2 linked regions of the Ovis aries genome follow. The protein of the gene in region 2 interacts with the protein of the main gene of each other region in a pairwise test. Links are inferred from orthologs where the notes say so. Each region holds a gene or a part of one and is shown on either strand. Other genes may lie near its edges. The genes, in order: C3H2orf50 and glutathione S-transferase A4.

The links.
Region 1: the proteins of glutathione S-transferase A4 (region 2) and C3H2orf50 interact in binary tests that used the Homo sapiens proteins (3 or more experiments, as listed by UniProt). The two-hybrid records come from large-scale screens. The link is inferred for Ovis aries from reciprocal best matches to the Homo sapiens genes GSTA4 and CIMIP5.

Annotation. Positions count from the first base shown.
Region 1 is NC_056056.1:20,143,958-20,151,209, reverse strand, and holds the start of C3H2orf50 (uncharacterized protein C2orf50 homolog), read right to left. Parts: upstream 4,154-7,252; 5' UTR 3,907-4,153; coding exon 3,665-3,906; intron 1,617-3,664; coding exon 1,577-1,616; intron 284-1,576; exon of another isoform or gene 1-283.
Region 2 is NC_056073.1:24,881,614-24,888,765, forward strand, and holds part of glutathione S-transferase A4, read right to left. Parts: intron 5,439-7,152; coding exon 5,387-5,438; intron 3,833-5,386; coding exon 3,700-3,832; intron 2,852-3,699; coding exon 2,710-2,851; intron 731-2,709; coding exon 599-730; intron 1-598. UniProt on the Homo sapiens protein: Conjugation of reduced glutathione to a wide number of exogenous and endogenous hydrophobic electrophiles. This isozyme has a high catalytic efficiency with 4-hydroxyalkenals such as 4-hydroxynonenal (4-HNE).

The sequences.
Region 1 (7,252 bases), on a different chromosome or scaffold from region 2:
AAGGGATCCTGTCTCTGCCCTCCAGCCCCTTTCTCTCACTATGTGATGTGAGAATCCCCCGTGTTCCTGTGTGTGGCTGCGGCTCCTTCGTTCTCCATGTTACACGGTATTCTGTGGTGTGTTTGTGTGAATACTCCACAGGTCACTTTATTCTGCCACGGGGGCATTTGGGCTTGTTTCCAGTTTGAAGGGGGGTCTTAAGGAGGGGTGCTGCCCTGAACATGCTACCTGGTGCCTTCTGTAAACTGAGGATGTGTTGAGTAAATGTCTGGATTATGACTAATCTGATAAGCCTTCCCTGTCCTTGTTTATGGTTAACTTTGTGCTGCTCTGTGTCAAATCGAAGTGACAGGACCAGTTTTTAAGAAACAGGATCCTGGCTCTCACCTGGGAAAGTCTGTGCGGAGGTGGCCCCACGGTGTGGGCTTTCTGGGCGGGGCGTGGGTCTCAGGGGTCAGGTTGCTGATACACAGCCCTGGGCAGGGAGAGACCCTGCAGCCTGGGAGCCCGGATCAGGGGCTCAGGGTTGGAATTCAGATCCTGTGAGCTAAATCTTCCATCTAAGGACCAGCAGCAGCCCCACAAGGCTAGTCTTACAGATGTCACACCATCCCTAAAACCCACAGGGGCCGTGCTTGTGCGGCCACCACCTTGGTTGGCTGGTTACATTGTTCAGTTTGCAGTTTGGTTCTCTGACCATGCTTTTAACAGCCAGATCATTCTTCATTTGCTCATTGCTCTAACGTGAACTGAGCGCGAAATAGTTACTGGGTGCTGGGGGGTAAAGACTAGCTGGAGGTATGTGTTCAGCAATGAAGTCATCTTTGTCCTTTCTCCGAGGAAGCCCATGGCCAGGTAAGATTGTTCATTGCACGTGCCCAAGGAATGGGTGAGATGTCCTGGGGAGTGAAGAATATGGTGATCTGGCCATGCTTGCCAGGAAGAGGCCTCTTGGGTGGGGCCTTGAAGGATGATTAGGAGGCCATTAGGCTAAGTGGGAAGAGCATAAAAGAGAGTGCATCGGTCAGTGTGGAGTGAGCAAGGAGGGGGAGGAGGCAGGGCTGGATCATGGGAAGTGTTGCAAACCGTCCCGGAAAATGCAGATTTATGGAAGGATTTTAAACCAGGGGGAGAGAGAGAGAGAGAGAGAGAGTTTTGCAGTTTAGAAAAGTTACTCTGGTAGCCACGTGGAGGATGGATTGGGGCTGGTGATATTAGATGCAGGGAATTTGTTTACAAGTGTTTTCACTCAGACTGATCCTCTATGTGGGGCCAACCTCACGTCACTCTATCTTGCTGATACCGTCGGACCGGGAGAAACGTGTCAGCAGCTGGTACTTACCAGTTCCAGCGAGTTCATCTCACTGCAGTCAAGGAACACTGGGGAAAATTCATTTCTAAATGCTCTACAGAAGTATTTTATTTCCCATCAAATCCAGAGTTTCTGGAAACAAGGTTCCATTTTATTCATCTCTGTCCATTGCAGCATCTAGCACCCAGCAGGTCCTCAATAAACAGATGAATGAATAAACACTCCAAGTGCAAGCATTTCAGATGGGAACATGGTCTGTCTTACCATGGGGTCATAGTCTTTCAGGAAACTCCAGTTCTGAGCCCTGGAAAGGAAAGCATGATGACAGTGTGATCCTCCCTATGGCGTTTTTACCTTCATTTTAACAGGGTCACTCAGATGGTAAAGAATCTGCCTGCAATGCAGGAGGCCTGGGTCCAATCCCTGAGTCAGGAAGATCCCCCGGAGGAGGAAATGGCAACCCACTCCAGGATTCTTGCCTGGAGAATCCCATGGACGGAGGAGCCTGATGGGCTACAGTCCATGGGGTCTCAGAGTCGGACACGACTACATGACTAACACTTTCACTCCATTTCAAGGGAATAAGTTGCTGCCACAAATGCGTGCATTACATCATGGAGGAACTACAATCATTAAGTGGAACAAACTCCAAGATCAACATTTCAATAGAGAGGAAAGTCTGATTGCAGGGGGTGTGGCAGGTGGATCAGGAAACCGGAAGCCATTTCACCCCAAGCGTCTGCCGGGGTGGGGTCGGGTGTGTGGGGGCGGGGTCGGGTGTGTGGGGGCGGGGTGGGGTGTGTGTGTGGGAGTGGGGTCGGGTGTGCGGGGAGGGGGTCGGGTGTGCGTGGGCGGGGGGGGGGGTCGGGTTGCATGGGCGGGGGGCGGGGTCGGGTGTGCGGGGGGCGGGGTCGGGTGTGCGGGGGCGGGGTCGGGTGTGTGGGGGCGGGGTCGGGTGTGTGGGGGTGGGGGGTTGGTCTCCCAGTCTTTTGAGAAGAAAAGCCGGCTTTCATCTTAACAAAGCTTGGTAACCTTCCAGGGCTTGAGACAGAGGAAGGTGGGTGGTGCTGGGGAAGTGATACTGTGAAGAATGGTGTTATCTGTGCTGGCAGTTTTATTTTTAATCTATTTTTAAAAAGTCAAATAATTCTCCAAGACTTAGAAGAAAAAAAAAGTTTCTCTGCCCCAATCCGCACAGACCACAAACACCATGACCTAGAGTCATGGCACCAGGGGGACCCTGTCTTTGTAAATGTCCCCTGTACCCCAACACACACACACACTCCATCTCTCCGACTCTAGTCCATCCATCAGCAATTTTAATTCTACCACTAAAACCTCCCTTGAATTCTCCTACCGGTCCCCAGCTCAGGCCACCATGGCAGCTCTGCTGTCACTTTAAATGTCACTTTGCCCTGTCCCCTCCACCTCACCAGGAACAGCAGCCAGACTGGTCATTTAAACTGTAAACTAAATAAATAAATAAACTGTAAACTAGCTCCAGTCAGCCTCTTGCTTAAGACCCTCCAGGGTGTCCCATGACATTTGAAAAAAAGTTATTGGGACTTGAGAAACTGCCCAGCTGCCTCCTCCTACTCCCCCCACTGAGGCTCTTGTCCCCTTCCTGACCACCCCAGCCACACGCATGGTCTTTATATTGTGGCTTTTTAAAATACACCAAACTCTTCCATGGCCCTTCTCATACTCGGGTCCCAACCTGAATGCCACCTCCCCAGACAGGCCTCCGTGAGCCCCCAGAAAAGCAAGACGCCAGTCTGCTCTGTCGGTCCCCTCCTGACACCAGCTGCATGTTGCTCTTGCCTGTGTCTCTGTTGCTTTCTGGCTCCTCGTCCTGAGAGTGAGGACGCCGCGGAGATGGGCCTGGGCCCGTCTTGTCCCCTGTGGCAGCCTGGCACGGCGGCGGCTCTTTTAGGGACTTCTGGACTGAATGATGCCTGAAGGGGCGCCCTTTGCTGGGTCAGAGGGCCGGCGCCCCTCCCCAGGCTGCTGCCACCCCACGCCTCCCCAGGCTTCCTGACCTCCCCACGCTCCCGCCCTCGCAGTTCATCCTTTGAGCTCCAGCTGGAAGGATTATTGCAAAGGGAAGCCGGGCTTCCAGAATGCACATGGTGGGGTCTCACCTCCCGCCTACCTGCCCCTACTCTGTGGGCCCCTGCTGGGCTCCCTCACCTCCCCTGGTCCAGGCTCTTGCTCCTTGGCCCAGCACTTTTCTATCAGTGTCCTTCACCTGGCTTACTCCCTCTCACTCCCAGGTCTCGCTGTCTCCGGAAGCTTCCTAGACCCTGAGCTAGGCTGGGGGGCCCTGGGGAGAGGACAGGGCAGGACACTCACCAGCGCTGCTGGCTCCTCCTCTCGGCCTCCAGCAGCTCCCTCCACAGCTGGTCCTGCTGCACACCGTCAGCCCCTGGGGCTGACCGCTTGGCCTTCAGGGCCTGGGGGCCACCCGCGGGACCCCTGCCCACCACAGAGCCTCCTGGGGCAGTGGACGGGACTGAGGCTGGAGGCCTGGTTGAACGCAGTTGGTACTCAGCTGATGTAGTTCTCTGGAGCCCAGGAGTGGGGCGGCTTCCCATGGGTGCAAGTGTGTAAGACTGTGTGTGTGTGTGTGTGTGTGTGTGTGTGTGTGTGTGAGAGAGAGAGAGAGAGAGAGACTCTTGCCTGAGCTCAGAGAGCTTTCCCGCATTTACACCAGGAGAGCTGTGCAGAGGTTCTCTTTGGCCCCCCAGATCCTGAGCTCAGAGTGGCCGATGGGGACCAGGCCCTCCAGGCTGCAGAGAGCATTGGAGCCCAGTTGTGTCTGAGCTTCTGTCTGTGTTGACTGCTGCCCTGGGAACGGGCAGCTCCCTAGTGTGCTAAGGAGGGGAGGGCCTTGTGTGTCTATGTGTGTGTGTGTGTGTGTGTGTGTGAGAGAGAGAGAGAGAGAGAGAGAGAGAGAGAGAGAGAGAGAGAGAGAGAGACATCTGAGCCCCAGGCTTGGGTGGAGAGAGTTCCTGGTCTGAGCCAAGCCAGCTCGGCTGCCCTCAGCTCTGCCCCTCTGCCCCCCTGGCTGGAGACCTCAGTAGAGCCTGGGGGAGAGAAGCAGTAAGAAGAGACATGGGTGGGAATCTGCCCCAGGTGGGTGCCGTGGGGCTCACAGGAGAAGGTGGATGGGCAGTTCTCTGTGAATGAGAGTGTGGCGCTTTGCGTACAGGCCAGGCGAGGGAAGATCAGTGATGCTGCACAGTTAACACCTGCTCTTCTGCAGAGAACTGGAGGGTTTGCAAAGTGCTGCCCTTGATCTTGCTTGACTCCCCTAGTCATGCAAGGCAGGCATCTCCAAGCCCACTGTACAGGTGAGGAAATGGAGGCCCTCACCAGCACGATAAGTAGCTGCCCAGGGCCACTCAGGTGCCAATTGTAGCCGGGCCTTGAGTTCAGATCCTCAGAAGGAAACAGTGAGAGCCCCCAGGGTAGGGATTCCTGTTCTGAACCTTTGGCTCTGTTTCTGCTCTGACCCACACAGCCCAGTTCCCTTGTGGCCCCAGGCCCCTCCTGCTCTGCTCAGCTGGCATCCTCAGATATCTTCCCCTTTGGTTTGTGTCCCCGGCCCGTTGCACTTCCCGGGCTCTTGACTCCTTCTTACCCCCCGTGTGTGTTGGCAAAGTCATGGATCTGTGGGATGACCCGTTGGGCATGGTGCTCCTGCCTCTGCAAGGCTGGGAAGCAGACACACTAGCAGATGGCTACACACATACACACGTGAACACACGTGCACACACACGCCAAGTCCTGCTATGTGGACGGTGCACAAGGCACCCCAGGGTGTTCGCACAGGTGTAGCCAACACACCAGCTGTTTGCCCACCCTGGGAGCATCTTTTGGATTCAGTTTTCATAAAGGAGGCCCCAAGGACTTGGGTCTTATGGGTGCCTAGCATTTCCAGGTCGAAAAACTGGGGCAAATGCGAAAGCTTGCCAGGTGGCTCAGTGGGTGAAGAACCTGCCTGCCAGTGCAGGAGATGCAAGAGACTCGGCTTCTATCCTTGGCTGGGGAAGAGCCCTGGAGGAGGAAATGGCAACCCACTCCAGTATTCTTGCCTGGAGAATCCCATGAATGGAGGAGCCCGGTGGGCTACGGTCCCTGGGGTTGTAAAGACTTGGACACACGACTGAGCTACTGACTGATTGAGTGCAAAAGCTTGGACACACGAGAGAACAGGTATTTGAGCTCGGTCATTGGGTTGCAGGGAGGGGTCCAAGCCCTGGGCTGTTTGGAGCTATGTGGGGAGCTTGTGCACGGAGCTTGTGCACAAGGGAGCATTCCTGCCCTTGAGCCACAGGGCAAAGAAGACCAGGGAAGGACACGCAGGTGAGGGGACGTGGCCGTGGTCCAGGTGAGAGGAGGTGCTGAAGCCCCCGCTGGCCTTGGCTGAGGGCTGGAGGGAGGAGACGGGGTGAGAGCTGCCAGACTGCTGAGAGCTGCCGGCACTTGTCTAAGGAAGGGGCTGAGTGAGTGTGACCTGCTGGGACGTCTGTCTAAAACCTGGGGCTGCGGGACTGGGCCTCTGTCTCTCCAGAGCCAGGATGAGAACTGCTGGCCATTGGTAACTGGGAGGCCTCAGGGCTCAGAAGCAGGGTTCCCTGGCTGTCGCTCTCTCTTAGGTGTTTGTGGCCGCAAGCAGAGCCAGGACAGGTCCCTGCAGTGCCCAAGAAGTGGCAGCTTTGATCTCCTTCAGCCTCTGGAAGGGGTCTCATCAGTGTGTTCACAGAGCCCAGTGCCTGCTGCTGCAACACCACGCACAAGGCCGACTGCAGCCGGTGGCACAGAGTAGCCTGGAACAGCCTTGCAGTCTGCTCAGATACCCTGGCCCAGGTTTCCTGGTCACCTGCTCCGGAGATAAGGGACAGGACCAAAAAGGCCAGCCACGGCAATCCTGGATGGCCGAGCATCCAATGTATGTAGACGCTGAATGTTTCCATGTGGACTGGTTTTTAAAAATTAAAATGTATTTAGAAATTATTTTCTAAATCAGTCCTAAAGGAAATCAATCCTGAATATTCATTGAAAGGACTGTTGCTGAAGCTGAAACTCCAATCCTTTGGCCACCTGTTGCGAAGAGCTGACTCATTTGAAAAGACCCTGATGCTGGCAAAGATTGAAGGTGGGAGAAGGGGACGACAGAGGATGAGATGGTTAGATGGCATCACCGTCTCAATGGACATGAGTTTGAGTAAACTCCGGGAGTTGGTGATGGACAGGGAAGTCTGACGTGCTGCAGTCCATGGGGTCGCAAAAGTCAGACATGACTGAGTGACTGAACTGACTGAGAAACTATTTCAGACTGATAGTAGAGAGATGAGTATATATGTGACAAGCATACACAATAGGATGTTCCTTATAAAATCTAGGGGATGGTAGATGGGTATTCACTGTACCATTCTTCTGACGTTTCTGTGTATTTGGACATCTCCATTATAAAATACTGGTGGGAAAAAGAGACTGCACCTGCCAGTCTAGCTTGAACACATTTCTTTCCGCAATCACTGATCTGGAAAAAGTGTCCAGATTCACTCTGGGTAGGTCTCATTAACCCCACCCCCATCCCTCCAACCCTGGGGAATCAGGGGGTTGCCCCTTGCACACCTCACATCCCATAATATAACTTTCTGTATAACTTTCTAATAAAGGGGAAAATCCACAGATTTGGGAGGTTGCTGGAGTTGTGTTTCTCTTCCCGAAATCCAGAGTCCCAGACACCAGCAAAAGGCCAGCCTTATAAGCAGGCCTTTTGAGGACAGTGGTCTCAGAGCTGTTGTGTTAACTCTTCTGTGCTTGTGCCACGTAGCTGACTAACAGCTGGCTATCCCGCTTTCCCCAGGAACATCCTTGATGTGCAACACGTGTGTGTGCGTGTGAGTGTGTGGGCATGTGCTCAGTTGT
Region 2 (7,152 bases):
TTTATTTAAAAAGCTACTATTTACCAAATGTCTCCTGTGTACAAAGCACAGCCTTAATTAAGCATGTTTACAGAAGTATTCACACATGTCACTAATATTAACAAAAATTCTAGTATGGAATTTGTTCCAAGAGTATAGTCATGCAGCAAAATCAAGAGACAACTTGTTTCATATGTAAAAAACTGCTCAGCTCTAAGGGCCAGGGAACCAGAAAACCAATTTCAAGTCTGTACTTTCGCTTCATTTTAGTAACTAGAATCTAGCTTCCCCGATGGCTCAGTGGTAAAGAACCTGCCTGCCAGTGCAAGAGAAGCAGGTTTGATCCCCGGATCTGGAAGATCCCCTGGAGAAGGAAAGGAAATAGCAACCCACTCCAGTATTCTTGCCTGAGAAATCCCATGGACAGAGAAACCTGGCGGGGTATAGTTTATGGGGTCACAAAACAGTTGGACATAACTTAGAGACTGCACAACACCACCACCGTAATGAGAACCAAAAAAATTACATACACATACAAATACAGAGCCAGTCAATCAATAGACATTGAAGGACGGCCCAAGAGTTGTGGGTCAATCTTCTAAAACATTAGTTTATTTACCTGGAGGTGAGGGAAGGCAGATAGGATATTAGGAATTTTCTCTTCTAGAGCCAAAATGGTCTGGAGTAGAATTATGTCTGCAAGACTCAGCTGATTACCAACAAGAAACCTTTGTCCATGACCCCGTAAAACCTGCAGGGTATAAATGTTTTATATCGGTTACAATAGTCGACATGGGGAAACTAATATAGCTATGGAATCAGTGCAGCATCTGAGAAAAGCTGAAACCATGGCCTTTTTCTTTTATCTTTTTACAAATAACATCAATTAAGAGGAAGTTCCCTAAGAGAGAATCAGCAAAAAAACGGTGTAGAAATGACAGCATCCATAGGTCTCTACTTTATAACAGAATGAGACCCTGAAAAGCTGAAGGAAGTATTAATTCTGGATTTAGCATCTGGTGCTTTAAAAGGATACAGCTGTTAACGTGTCTACAGAAAAGAATTAGTCCTCACGCATTCAGGAGATGGTGGGAAGGATGTAAGAAGTAAGCCACTGGTCCTGTCCAAGGAGTCTAATCTCATTTCCCAGTTCTGTGTTTCTACGACTGTCAGGACTCACAGTCGTAAACTAGACACAATAGTAAATAAAAAAAGCAGGCTTCCTTTAACATCTTCTAAGATCCCCTGGAGAAGGGAATGGCTGCCTACTCCGGTATTCTTGTCTGGAGAATCCCATGGACAGAGGCTAGTCTGTGGAGTTGCTAAGAGTCAAACACGATGGAGCGACTAACATTTTCACTTCACTTTCAAGACCAAGAAAATTAAAAGAATGAGAATTTATCCTGACTCCCATACTGAGGGTTAGGTGCAGAGATTCATAGGAATAGATGGCAATTAGAAAGAAGCAAGGAACAGGGGGAGACTAGGGGAGAGCCCCTTTGCAGATATGTGTATGTGCATGCCTGTGTGCGTATGAGAGAGAGAGAGGGACTCTAAGATGATTCCAAATCAAACAGAGTGACTGGAGCCAGACTGGAGAAAGACAGAGAGTCTGGAACTGTAGTCAGAGGCCAGAGTTCCAGTCCCGGCTCCCACCTTAGGCATGCCAGTCTCTCTGTGTTTCTATTTCATTACGTGTAAAAAGAAGGTAACAGGACCAGTGGGTAAGAATCTGCCTGTTAATGAAGGGGACACGAGTTTGATCCCTGGTTTGGGAAGTTTCCACATGCTGCGGAGCAACTGAGCCCTCGTGTCTCAACTGCTGAAGCCCACGCACCCTAGAGCTCCTGCTCGGCAACGTGAGAAACCACCATGATGATAAGCCCCCATGCTACACCTAGAGAGTAGCCCTCATTCACCGCAACCCAAGAAAGCTGGTGTGCAGCCACAAATACCCAGTGCAGCCATAAATAACTAAATAAATAAGAAAGTAATAACTTTTAGCTCGTATGTTTGGCAGAGTTCTGACGTAGTCTGACTCACAGGGAGACAGAAGCTGGCAGTGCCTTTATCCGAGACACCTGTTCCTCCCTCACCACAGCCCATTTCTGCATCATCATATTTACATTCACAAAGCTCCTGCAGGCAAGAGACCATGAAACCAAGGACAGAAACGCTCAGAAAGTACCTCTCTTCCTTCTTATCTACTTCCACGTCAATGGTCAGAGGAAATCTGCCAATTCCCGGCTTTCACGTGCTCTTGTTTTTTAACTGAGGCATTTAAAATAATCCTTCTCCATTGAGGAAAAGAGAGGAGGAGGTGAAGCTCAGAAAAACAGAAATAAGACAAGGAAGATAACAAAAGAGAACAAAAGGGAAGAGAAATAAGACAGCCACGGTTCTTCTCTTCATATGCAACTACCAAGTAGGATGGAACGAAAGAAGGGATGAAGGAGCCGGTTTCTGCGTGTCCTGTACAGGGTGGCCCCTGGCAAAGGCAAGCAATGACAGTGCACACAGGGGTGAGCCTGCATCTTTGCCAGAGAGCATGGAAGACTCTGGAAGAGTTGGGGAGGCTCCAGGACATGCTGGCTTTGTGCTGATGCAACTGTCAGCTCTTTGGAACCCAGGAGGCTGGTCTAGCAGGGCTCAGCTTTTACTCTGCCTGAGCAGAAAAGGGGTGTTTTGTGGTCTAGTGATGCTGTCTTCACAGGCTTCGCTGTCACCTACCTTTTCAAACACAGGAAAGTATCTAATTATAGCCTTCTGGGCCATATTAGCCACTTCCTTTTGCTGATCGTCCGGTTTGAGGAAAGGATGCATGATAAGCAGTTCCAGAAGATCCAGGGTCCCCTCCACATACATGTCAATCCTTCAAAACACACACAAAAAGCATTTTCTCAGTGGCCCCTCATTGGCTCCCACAGCTAAACATCCAGAGTGCTTTGCTCTTACAGCTCGGGCTACTTAAGTATCAAGAAACATTCATCTCCACCTGTCCCTTAACAGCAAAGATGCAAAGTCAACTCTAGTTATAAATCAGAAAACTTCTTCAGAGAAACCCATCACAAATCTTGAAGTACCAGAGTTATGGATGTCCTTTCTCCTGGCCCCTCACTCCAGCACCCATGCTCAGGATGTATACAACTTCACATTTGTAAAAATAGTGGGTACCATTTACAGAATACTCGGTGTGAACGAGGAGTGGTGCTAAATACCCTACATCTAACATTTCACTGAATCCTACAGCATTATGAGGAATATACTATTAGCAACCCCATCAGGACACTGGAGCCTAACACTTTGCCCAGGGGCATGATCCAGGAGGTACAAAGACCAGGCTCTGAGTTCAAATTATAAGCCAGTGCGCAGTATTCTGGGCCTTGAATGTCACAACAGCTTCCGATTCCTAACACTCAGTGATACTAGATTTGCAAGAATGGTAAAAAAAAACCATAATATCAAAGCATTTAAGGATGTTGAAACCTGCACCACACCCCAGACACAATTTCTAATATCCGAACTCAATCCTTTGCTCTCATTTTACTCAGACTCTCTGTACTGACTTTCCAAGTGGTCTTGATGACCTTTCTGGAGGTTTGTTCCCTGTTCGCACTAACGATATAGGCCATGCGGTGGACCAGGGGGCTGTGGAGGATGGCTAATGAGCTAAGCATTGGTAGAGGTACAATTGAGAACACTCCGGAGGAGCCACAGTACAGGGTTCTCTCCTTGAGGTCTTTGCCGAAGAGATGGTGCTTGTCTGCGATGTAGTGGAGGATGCTCCGGGTCTGCACCAACTTCATCCCGTCAATTTCAACCATTGGCACTTGCTGAAACAGCAGGTGGTTACCTGGGAACAGAAGCCCGGAGTTAGAAGTGCTCTCTCCCCTTTCCCCCATCCCTCGAAAAATGCTCTCCTAAATGGGGCCACAGCCTTAAGAAATAGTGTAAAGCTCCCCCAACTTCATTCAGGGGTGCTGATTTAGCCATAAAACAAGACTTAAAACTAGCATGGACATAAAGCTTTCAATTTTCACCCCAAGAAAAACACTTAGTCTCAATGTAAAGGGTGAGGGGTAACACAGTGAAGACATCTCTTTACAGAGCTGTGCTGGCCAATACAGTAGCCAGTAGTGACATGCGTATAGTTAAGCCTAAATTTAAATTGAACTTTTTATTTATTTTTTGTGTGTGGCTGAGGCATGCAGCTTGCAGGATCTTAGTCCTCTGATTAGGGATTGAACCTGGGCCCACAACAGTGAAAGCCTAGAATCCTAACCACTGAGCAACCAGGGAACTCTACATCAATTAAAAATTTTAAATATTTTTTTGACTGTGCCTGTGCCATGGGGCATGCAGAATCTTAGTTCCCTGAGTGGGGATTGATTCCAAGCCCCACTGCAGTGGAAGTGCAGAGTCTTAACCACTGAGTCACCAGCAAAGCCCTAAAACTTATGAAATATCTACAAGTCACTTCCTTCATCCCCATGGGCACAAATGCTCAGGAGTCACATGTGGCTGGCAGCTCCTGCAATGGCCAGAGCAGAACAAAACAACCCATCCGTGTAGAATGTCTATGACTATGTCACTTTGTCAGTCTGATGACGAAGCCCAAGACACCGACTGATACTAACGTATAGGCATCCACTGCCACAGCCCAGCTGCTGCCAAATATGCAGTCACTGGTCAAAAAGTCACCCCTTACTTTCTTCAAGAAGACTGTCTCAAACACTTTACCTACAGCAAACCCCAGGAACAGTCACAAGTATAGCACACAGCCCAGTCCTGGAGGGCTGGAGGCGGGTTGAGGGCAGATGAATACTCAGCACATGCGCAGTGTCACTCATGATGGAGACATCACAGCCCTGCCGAGCTGGTCCCTCTCCAGGGATCCTTGAGTTGGGCCTCAGGACCCTGCTGATGGCAAGGAAGGAGGCTGCTTACAGGGGTCAGGGTGTGACCAGGAGTTAAAGGCAGGCCTTTCACTGCTGTCTCATCTGTTTGGTACTTACTTGAGAAAGCAGCCCAGTGTAAACGGGGACTTTTATCTGCACACTTCAAGCAGATGCCTCAGGTAATAGGTAGGAGGTGGAAATTGAGGAGGGAAGGGATGAGGGAGTGGAAGAAAGAGGGGTAAAGGTGGAGGAAGGTCGGGGAGGAGAGAGAGATGGAGAAGGGCTGCCCAGTGCACAGAGGGAAGAACTACTCCCCCTTTGATTGGCTTTTATAGAACTACTGAAAATCAAGTGACTTTCTAGCAATTTTGGCCAATGTTCCCTCTTGCTTGTCTGGTTTTAGGATACTGTTCCGGATGTTTAGTGTCAGCTGGATCTTTGTCCTTCCACTTAAATATCAGTTCTTAAAAAAATCAGCATTATCGACAGTAATACATTTTTATACTCACCATCCTGCAACTTCTGCAACTGTTCTTTTGTTTCTAAAAATTCTTCATCGAACTAAATTTAAAAAGACACCCCCCCAAAAAAAAGAAGGGAAATGTCATTACGGTTTTAGGACTGAAAATACCAAGTTAAACTGCCCAAAAAACAGACAGGAGAACATACTCAGTACCCATATCTTGGTTTCTAAATATCCTTGGGCTCCCAGGAGTAAAAGTTGATTCTGTTATGTCAAAAAGTGAGGAAGTACTCAAAGACTAACAGATATATGTCAAAGGCAAAGACACGTGGGACCCTACCTAAGAGGGCTTCCCTAGCCACATTTGGGACAATTCAAGTGATACCAGGCACAGATGAGAATATCATCAACCAAAAAAATCCTTGTGTCCATAAATGATGATTCAAAAAAAGGAAGAAAGAAGGCTCTCTTTTCCAGAATTAGCACTAATTAATGCAGAATTGTTCCTAATTAACAATAAAATTAGAAAATCACCAATTTTCACCCTATAATGTAATAACTGACTCTGATAAGGATCAAGATGCTGAAATCGTTGGGTCATTGGGCATAGAATATTCACACAAAGCATCATCCCGCAGGTTACTTATTATGACCAAGAAAAAATGTCTCTGCAGATGTGTGCACCCACCTACCCAAGTGGTCAAGCTCAGTTCCCCACTGGGGCCACCTTGAGGCATCTCACAGTCCCTGCTGTGACAGTGAAGACACAGCGACACTGCAGAAACAGCATCCCAACCAATTCAACCTGGACGGAGCTGCAAGGTGAAACAGGGGCGTATCCAGAACGTTCGACACTCTGCAGTATACAAATGGTCTGCACTCTTTTCCAACCTACAGAACTGTTGTTTTCGAGCTCCTCCAGGATGGGCAGGTTTGGAAGCCAGTTGGGGGGACAGACTTTCTGCCTTTGCGGCTCCCGCTCCGTGGTCTTCATCACTTGTCTGGCTCCCACTTCCTAGATATCCATCCACTTCCCGACTGAAAGCATGAGCCCTGCTCTCAAGGGCAAATCTTTATTTACAAGGGATTCGACTGTAGCCAGGTAAACCGCCTCTGAAAATTCTCCAGGCCATTTGGCCTCCAAGTCACATTACTGAGTCTTTATTTCTCTTGGCAGAAATTCATGCAAGAGATTCAATCCCTCCTTCACACATTCCTTCTCTGTTAAGTGACAAGTATGAAAGAAAAGAACAAAATGTAGATTCTGTTCTAGATGAAAAGCGACTAGAGACATAACCACCAAGTGTCTAAATCTTGATTAGATCTTGGATGGAGGAGTGGTAGTTATAACTACTAAAGAGATACATTTAACAGTTATATAGACATTTGCGGCACAAGAGGCAACTTCTGAATTTGGATTATATATAAGATGTTGTAAAACTGATGTTATTTCCTTAGTTGTGACAATGTTATTACAGTTATGGGGACAATTTTATTTTTTTCTTAACAGGAAGACACACGCTGATGTCTGCAACTTACTTTCAAATGAATAAGAATTAAAAAAGCAGAGACATAAGAAGGAAGGAGGCAAAAAGCAAAATGTTAGCACCTGGTGAGTTTAGTTGAAAGGTATCCATTTTACTATTACAGCTTTTCTGTAGGTTTTAAAGTTTCCAAACTAAAAGTTTGGGAGGAAAAGAAACACTGGAAAGTCCCTTTTCTTGTGACATATACAGCTCGCTCGAATATACTGATGTCCTTCTCATGCCCACCGAGGCCCCAAGTCCATGGGTGGTTCCCAGTCGAGCCTGC